2 linked regions of the Tribolium castaneum genome follow. The protein of the gene in region 2 interacts with the protein of the main gene of each other region in a pairwise test. Links are inferred from orthologs where the notes say so. Each region holds a gene or a part of one and is shown on either strand. Other genes may lie near its edges.

Region 1 (3,220 bases), on a different chromosome or scaffold from region 2:
TCTATTTTGAATTTAGCTCACGAAAAAAACACGTTTATGCGCTTGATAAAAAGGGTAAATAATAATTTATTAATAAAAGTTCGTATTTTTTAAAACAGTTTTCGGTGAAATTATTGTGTTGTCTTGTAGTTGCACAGCTATTTGTACGCCGTGTCACCTGATGTTTTAGTCGTCCGTAATTATTGTTTTAATTGTTTTTTTTTAGTTTCAAGGATCCTGTGTATCAGTGTGATAGCATCCAAGTACTTGGTGCCTACGATTCTGGTGATTGTTCTCCACTGGTTCGTGATGACAATGTGGCTGTCTTGTACGAACCAAAAAAATAATTTTTGTAAACATAACAAGGTCTATGACATGTTTTTCTACTCAATTTTTGGTACTGTGTATATTTTCACGCCAGTTACGTTAGTCGAAGGCCCGACTTTTCTGAAATATGTTTTCTTTTACGTCGTGCTGTTTGTAGAAAATACGATAGCTAATGTTGTGTGGTACTGTAATGCTGATACTACTCTGCAGAAACAGATTTATTATACACCTATTGTGTATTTGAACGTTATTCCGTTTTTTGCGGGACTGACGTTCATGTTGCTGTACTATAAAGTCTTCCATCCTAGCACAGGGTATCACAGGACACAAGCTGTCCTTCCTAGTTAATAATCAAGGATCAAAGAGGAGTAGGTGAATATTTTTCTGCAGTGACTCTGATCTCCAAGTACGTACTCAAATGAATCCTCTTTGGTTTTTAGTTATAATTTTATTAACAATGTGATGTCTAATTTATTGTGTTAGTAGAATTGATGTGTATTTTACTAAGTAGGAATGGCCAAAGTATGTCAATTAGTTGTATTTTTCCTATTGATTTGTGTTTGTTGGTGCAATATTTAGTTGAATTGGTCCAGTTTTGAGATTATTTTAGTTGTATGCACAATTGTGGCGATGGAATCGAGCTCCGGTCTAAAATCGGGTAAAGAGGGGGCGGTTGCGTGACAGGTCCCGGCAAAACCTCGTTACCGACAACCCCCATAGCACTCAATTGCTCCCTATTGAATGATTTACTGATCCCCCCGCGACCGCCGCGGCCCCCTCGCCCGCCTCGACCGCTCATTTTATTTAGTCACTTCTAATTTTTTCAAATCTTCGGTTAGTTTTTTGACTTCATTTTGCTCCTGAAACGTCTCCTGCAATAAGGGTTTTTGGGGTTAATGCCTCACAAGCTATTTTTTACCTTGTCGTAAATTACTTTAACCACCAAGGAACAGCTCAGACAATTCGCTACTTCTTCGCCCGCGAGCAATTCTTCCTTAAAATTGATAGTAAATATAATGAGGTTAGGCCAAGGCACTCACTTTGGATATTTGGAACCTATCGTCGCATAGGCAAGGGTAATAGTAAACTTCTTCCTCTTCGTCGTATTCGAAATCCTCGATTTCTATTTCGTCGTGAAAAACAGTCATTACTTTATTTGTGGCTGAATTTTAAAATTTTCTAAGGTTCCAAACCATGTGACAGATTGTGGTTATGTGTGGAGTGATGTGACGTGACGTTTAATTTTTTGAGGGGCAACAATAATACGCATTAAATTCGAGATTGTGGAGAATCACTGTTGGGTTGTTTTATTATTATCTTAAGTAAAATAGTTAAAATTTAATTAAAAAAAGTCTCCCCGGCGGGGAATCGAACCCCGGTCTCCCGCGTGACAGGCGGGGATACTGACCACTATACTACCGAGGACTGATGGGTAAATTTTCTCAAGTCCTGCACTTCAGCCGAGTCTGTATTAGCTACTTTTGATAATAATTGATAACAGTAATTGTAATTATTTTAAAGACAAGACATGGTGTTTCTTAATTCCACTGATTACAAGGTATTCAAAACAACATACAATTCAAAATATAATTTAATTTATACTGTCGGACAATTTACAGAGCGTCCGTAAGATGGCAGTAACAGTAGTCCTCACGCTTACTTGTCGTACGTGTTGGTACAAATACAAGTCCTAAAGATTGTTTCATCAAGATCATACTTCACAGGATCATTTCTGTAGTATATCTTCACATACTCTACACTCAAACGTAGAGTTGACGCAACCACGATGATGAGTCGTAGTTCTGATTCCTGAGCGTGAGGCAGATGCAGAGATATTTTTCAATATCTGAGTCGTCATCGATGATCGTTCACTCGCGCTTTTATGTGTGAGCATGGGATCAGAGCAATCCGAGCGGTTGCACCCTTTTTTGTTTAATGTAAAAGTATAGATACCTTATTTACCAGTACGTGTACGGTGTACGTAACGTACCTATTCCTATTTTACTTACCTTCAAAAGGCTTCTTTCCTACGCGAGCGGAAAGCATTAAAAAGTCATCTTTTTTTCCGGGACTACGCTAATATCATAAAGTATATCCATCCACGAGGGAGGAAAATAGTGATTTTTGAAAAAAATATTTATAATGCATAGAGACGATTTTATTTGTTCAGTTCGTGAAATTTGAATCGTGTTCAGGTGAACAGAGCGTTCTTATAATCGTTCGGGGATAAAATCAACGCACTACTGAATCAAAATAAGAATTAATTTGTTTACGAATCAAGGTTAAATCAAAACATTTTATTTTTGAGTATTTTCCCAATGACTACGCCTTTGGTTTTTATTATTGGGGCATTGAGCGTAGAATGGTAGCGCATCTGATTTTGACAAGTCTGCTGCTCGTTAATCATGTTTAATTTCAGCCGTTGATTTTATGTTTAGAACAGGCCAAAAGTCAAACGTTCTGTTAAAATATAACCGACTAGTTTCAGAATGCATCGTCATTAAGCGTTTTAAAATTAATTGAAATCCGATAACGCTGAAACTTTTTGTTACAACATAAAGTGATTTATAAAGGAAAAACCGCGTTCATTCGAATCTTTTTTATAGAGAAGTACTTAATAAACTGCAAAACAATATGAGCAAGTTAGTGTACTCGTAATATTTAAAAGGCTTATTATTATGCTGAATTAAAATAGAGTTTTAAACCTACTACAATTTATAGAATGTGTGTAATCATAATCAATCATCATAATCGTACTCGTAAATAAAATGCATAAAATATCTGATTACTCCTGGACCACCCTGCATAGTTTGTAATGTTGATTTATTTAAAAAGTTTGTGTTAAAATGTCTGCAAAAGACGGTCAGTACCCGGATCAGGTGTAACAATTTTTCTATGAAAAAAAGTGAAGAAA
Region 2 (4,355 bases):
ACCAATTGACTGTCTTTGTCTAGCTGACTTAAGGAGAATTTAAACTGATTATTACGATAAATTGCGCTTCAAAACAAATTTGCACAAATATTTATCTTGAAAAATTGTAAAGTAATAAATATTTACCAATTATTCCGCGCCCGGAACGTGTTCAACATTATTGTTGAATTGTTTTTATTTGCGTTTCTAAGGGCAACCACTCACAAACAAACGGTTGTGCCAACATGGCTAAATAAAACGCCGTCATGGAATCATGCAACACATTTTTATTATAAAAATACGGAATACAATAATTCAATTAATAATAATTCTTTATAAAAATACTTATGCACATCAAAAAGAGAATTAATTATTGCTATTCGACAACAGCGAAAGAACTACCGGTACAAGCAAAAGCCGCCTTGACTTTTCTATTAGCGAAAATCTGCGTGGGCTTGCAGACGTCGGTTTTATCACCGGTTCCGCAGCTCCCGTGCTCATTCCACCCCCAAACGAACAATTTCCCATCTTTGGTAACGGCTAGATTATGTTCGGAGCCGACGCTCAACTGTGTGACGTCCTTAAGTCCGGGGATCTTCTCCGGCTTGTAGGTGACCTCCCTCTGGGCCCCCAACTGGCCGTAGCTGTTGCGCCCCCAGGTGAAGACCTCGCCCGACTTGGAGAGGGCCGCCGTGTGTGTCCAGCCCGCGTACACGGAGCCGAGATTGGCGTCATGGAGGATCTCCATCGGGACGAAACTGTTCGAGATGTTGGGGTCAATGCCCAACTGCCCGTACTTGTTCTCGCCCCAGCTGTACACGGTGCCGTCCTCCTTCAGGACCACGGTGTGGTGCTGGCCACTCGCTATGCTCACTATGTCCTCTAAGTCCGGAACTTTGGATATACTCAGGTAGTTGTTGTCATCAAAGTTATCGCCAAGGCCCAGCTGGCCCTTGCTGCCCGTGCCTGCGACTAGAAGACCACCGTCCTTGTTGAGCATCGCTGAGTGGCGCAGCCCGCAGCTGACCTGCACACACATTGCCCCCGTTTAGACTACCCTGTGAGGGTGACCAGACACAAAATTTTGCCCGGACAAAAATTGATTTTTACAGCAAAATAAATTTTGTAACTATTGTTACTATCAAATTTTGTTGATCACTTCGGCGCAAATTTAAGGAATAAAAACTGAAATTTCATATTTTTTCAACGTTATCAGGTTATTACTTAACATGTATTAAAATAAATTGTGGACCAAGTAGAGCAGCAAATCGTTCGCAAATACGAAATATGGTTTCATCTCTATTTCTTAAGATAGCCATTGAAAGTTATCAAATGAAAAAAGTCTTCTCCATATCTTTAGAGGACGATTATTGATATAAAAACAGGATTTGGACTTATCTGCAAATCGTGAAATTGTATTCGAGCAAATTCTAGCAGAGCTACCGTTAAAAAAGGGCCAATGGTATCTGTAGCATGCTGACGGTCATTTTTTAATTTTTTTGCAGAACAAAAACGTTTTTTTTTAAATAATGCGTAAAAGTCGGTCTTCGGCATTTACTGTTTTTTGCTGTAACGTCGTCAAGCTCTTGTAACTATTGACTTCTTTTTGAGAAAATCCTGCTCCAATAAAAGTCACCGTTTGGCGACTTTCGTACCAATGTATATGTTTCACTGTTTTCTTTCGTACTTTAAGAGATGTTAAGTGACCGAGAATTACGAGATATTGATTTTTTGTTTATCTGTTCCGTTTATTTTTATTTACGTAGATAAGAAATCACGATTTTTTTGCATTATACTTGCCTGACTAATCTTTGGGTAATTTTTTACTTACAAAGACAAGAATTAAAAAAAGACTAGAAGCATTAGAATTAAAAGTCGCGATTGTCTTGGACGCGCGGTAAGGTCGCCGGACCTTGCATAAGTAAACGATTTTTGGGTTTTCTTTTATTAGAATGGTGGGATATTTATTATTATTATTAAGACAAATCTGGTCACCCTAACCCTGTGGAACCTTACCTGTTTGAAGCCAGTGGCCAGCTTCTGGGACACCTGCAGCCGCGACGGGATCCCCGTGCAGGTGATGCTTTTAGAGAGCCCCAGCTGGGTGTAGGAGTTGTTCCCCCAGACAAACTGCTTGCCGCATTCGGACACCGCGGCGCTGAAATCCCAGCCGCATGAAATCTGAACTATCCGAAAGCCTTTCAGAATTTCAATCTGGGTGATTTTCAGAGTATCATCGCTGGTGCCCAACTGGCCCTTGGAGTTCCACCCGCAACAATAGACGAACCCATTTTTGTCTAAAATTAAAGTGTGGCCCGCGCCGCCGGCTATGGCAACGATATTATCGGCCACCAGGTCGGTGTCGCCGAGGTTCACCTCTTTGGGAGACACCTCCTCGTCGGACTTGTGTCCCAAGCCCAGCTGGCCGTAGCTGTTCGCGCCCTGGAATCGCCCGGTCAAAACCACCCCCGCCAACAATCAAGCGCCCACTTACCCAACTGTACAAAATCATCTCGAGCTGTTAAGTCGGATGGCCGTATTTGCGTCGCCAAATGGTAAATTATTCAAACACGCGTCCTCTCTCTGCCTAATTGAGGTTATGTTCGCCAATCTTAATAATAAAAAATACACTACACCGACTGCGCTTCGAGTGAATTACGCACACGTCACCACAGCTTTGTATCACAGTCGCCGGGCGACAGACGGAGATGGAGCGATTCGAATGTTGCTAGCGAGATGCGGTAACAAGTTCCTCGGGTTTTTTTGGTGGTATTGGTACGGAATGACACCAAACTCGATGCATGGATCACTTCTTAACAATAAAGCACGGTTTTTGGTGAAGACTCGAAACGAGGGATTTGCACACTCGACAAAACGCAAAAAAATGCTTACTATAATCGGTCATTGGCCAACATAATGGACACGATTGGATTTAGACAGTTGTCTCCATCTCTCTCCACACCACCATCGCCGCTATCGAATCTCTCTCTCACACACTAAAACTAAACACTGCCACCAATCACACACCACAATTCCCCACACGTTTTGAAAATGGGCGCATTTTCCAAAAACGTCATGTCACAATTTAAAAGACTTCCATTCCAGCTATTTAGAAACAAGTTTTTCCACCCCATCAGGTGCGAGTCCACCTGTCCCGAACGCCGTCCGTACTCGCCCTTCCGCCCTAAAAACCAAACCGAATGGGTGTTAGCCCGTCTGGACGATTTGCTGAACTGGGGCCGGAAAACCTCAATGTGGCCCCTTACCTTCGGTTTGGCATGCTGTGCTATCGAAATGATGCACATTGCAGCCCCGCGATACGACATGGACCGGTACGGCGTCGTTTTTAGGGCTTCGCCCCGCCAAACGGAAGTCATAATTGTGGCGGGAACCGTCACCAATAAAATGGCGGCAAGTTTGAGAAAAGTCTACGATCAAATGCCCGAACCCAGATGGGTCATTTCAATGGGCAGTTGTGCCAATGGGGGCGGGTATTATCACTATTCCTATTCCGTGGTCAGGTATGCTTATAGGAAACTAAATTACGAATTAACGGTTCAATAGGGGCTGTAACCGGATTATTCCGGTCGATATTTACGTCCCGGGGTGTCCCCCAACCGCTGAGGCGCTCATGTATGGGATTTTGCAGCTTCAGAAGAAGGTCAATCGCCACAATGCGATACAGAAATGGTTTGTTAATCGTTTCTGACTTAAATAAAATAATATTGATTCCCAATAACCTGACATTTTATTTAATTACCCCCTTGATAAAAATTTAATTGCGCCGTCTATGGTTAGTACGCAATGTCGGTGAAGACAGCATCAAAAGTGGTGACCTGATCTGACCTGACAATTCTAATGTGATTCTATTACAAAGGACAGGAGGAAAATAGTGAAAATAATGAATGAGTTTTGCAAAATGCTTTTATAGAAAAGTTGTACTTTATGTTTTATTATGTGGTAAACTTAACACACCTTAAAACACGCCCTTTATAAACGATTAAACGCCCTTTTTCATCAAAATGTTTAACACGAAAAGTTCATTTTTGCCCTATATACATTTCAATAAATCACACTAAAGTTTATGTCGTTGACTCAAAGGTAGATTTATCTACCCATAACATATTCAATAATAGTTAATAACACTCTAAAAGAGCAGAAACGGACACAAAATCCATAAATGTTAAAATTTTTACGTTTCAGCTGATAACATAACCCTACTTTTACAACCGAATTTTATGGAGACTTAAAACTAACACAATTTGTGGCGATACCACTAATTTTCGCACCAAAATTTCACATAACCGGCTTGTTTGCACAAAGGAAATGAGGAAAATAATGAATAAGAATTTTGCAAAATGCTTTTATAGAAAAGT

The links.
Region 1: the proteins of uncharacterized protein LOC655683 (region 2) and Dph3 interact in binary tests that used the Homo sapiens proteins (3 or more experiments, as listed by UniProt). The link is inferred for Tribolium castaneum from reciprocal best matches to the Homo sapiens genes SERGEF and DPH3.

Annotation. Positions count from the first base shown.
Region 1 is NC_087396.1:11,845,397-11,848,616, reverse strand, and holds Dph3 (diphthamide biosynthesis protein 3), read right to left. Parts: upstream 1,700-3,220; 5' UTR 1,455-1,699; coding exon 1,347-1,454; intron 1,301-1,346; coding exon 1,226-1,300; intron 1,179-1,225; coding exon 1,107-1,178; 3' UTR 735-1,106; downstream 1-734.
Region 2 is NC_087398.1:4,656,735-4,661,089, reverse strand, and holds uncharacterized protein LOC655683, read right to left. Parts: upstream 2,928-4,355; 5' UTR 2,492-2,927; coding exon 2,474-2,491; intron 2,422-2,473; coding exon 1,996-2,421; intron 1,007-1,995; coding exon 356-1,006; 3' UTR 247-355; downstream 1-246. Other genes in the region: Fam92 (CBY1-interacting BAR domain-containing protein 1), read right to left, coding at 127-158; NADH-quinone oxidoreductase subunit B 2-like, read left to right, coding at 3,031-3,500, 3,544-3,688. UniProt on the Homo sapiens protein: Probable guanine nucleotide exchange factor (GEF), which may be involved in the secretion process.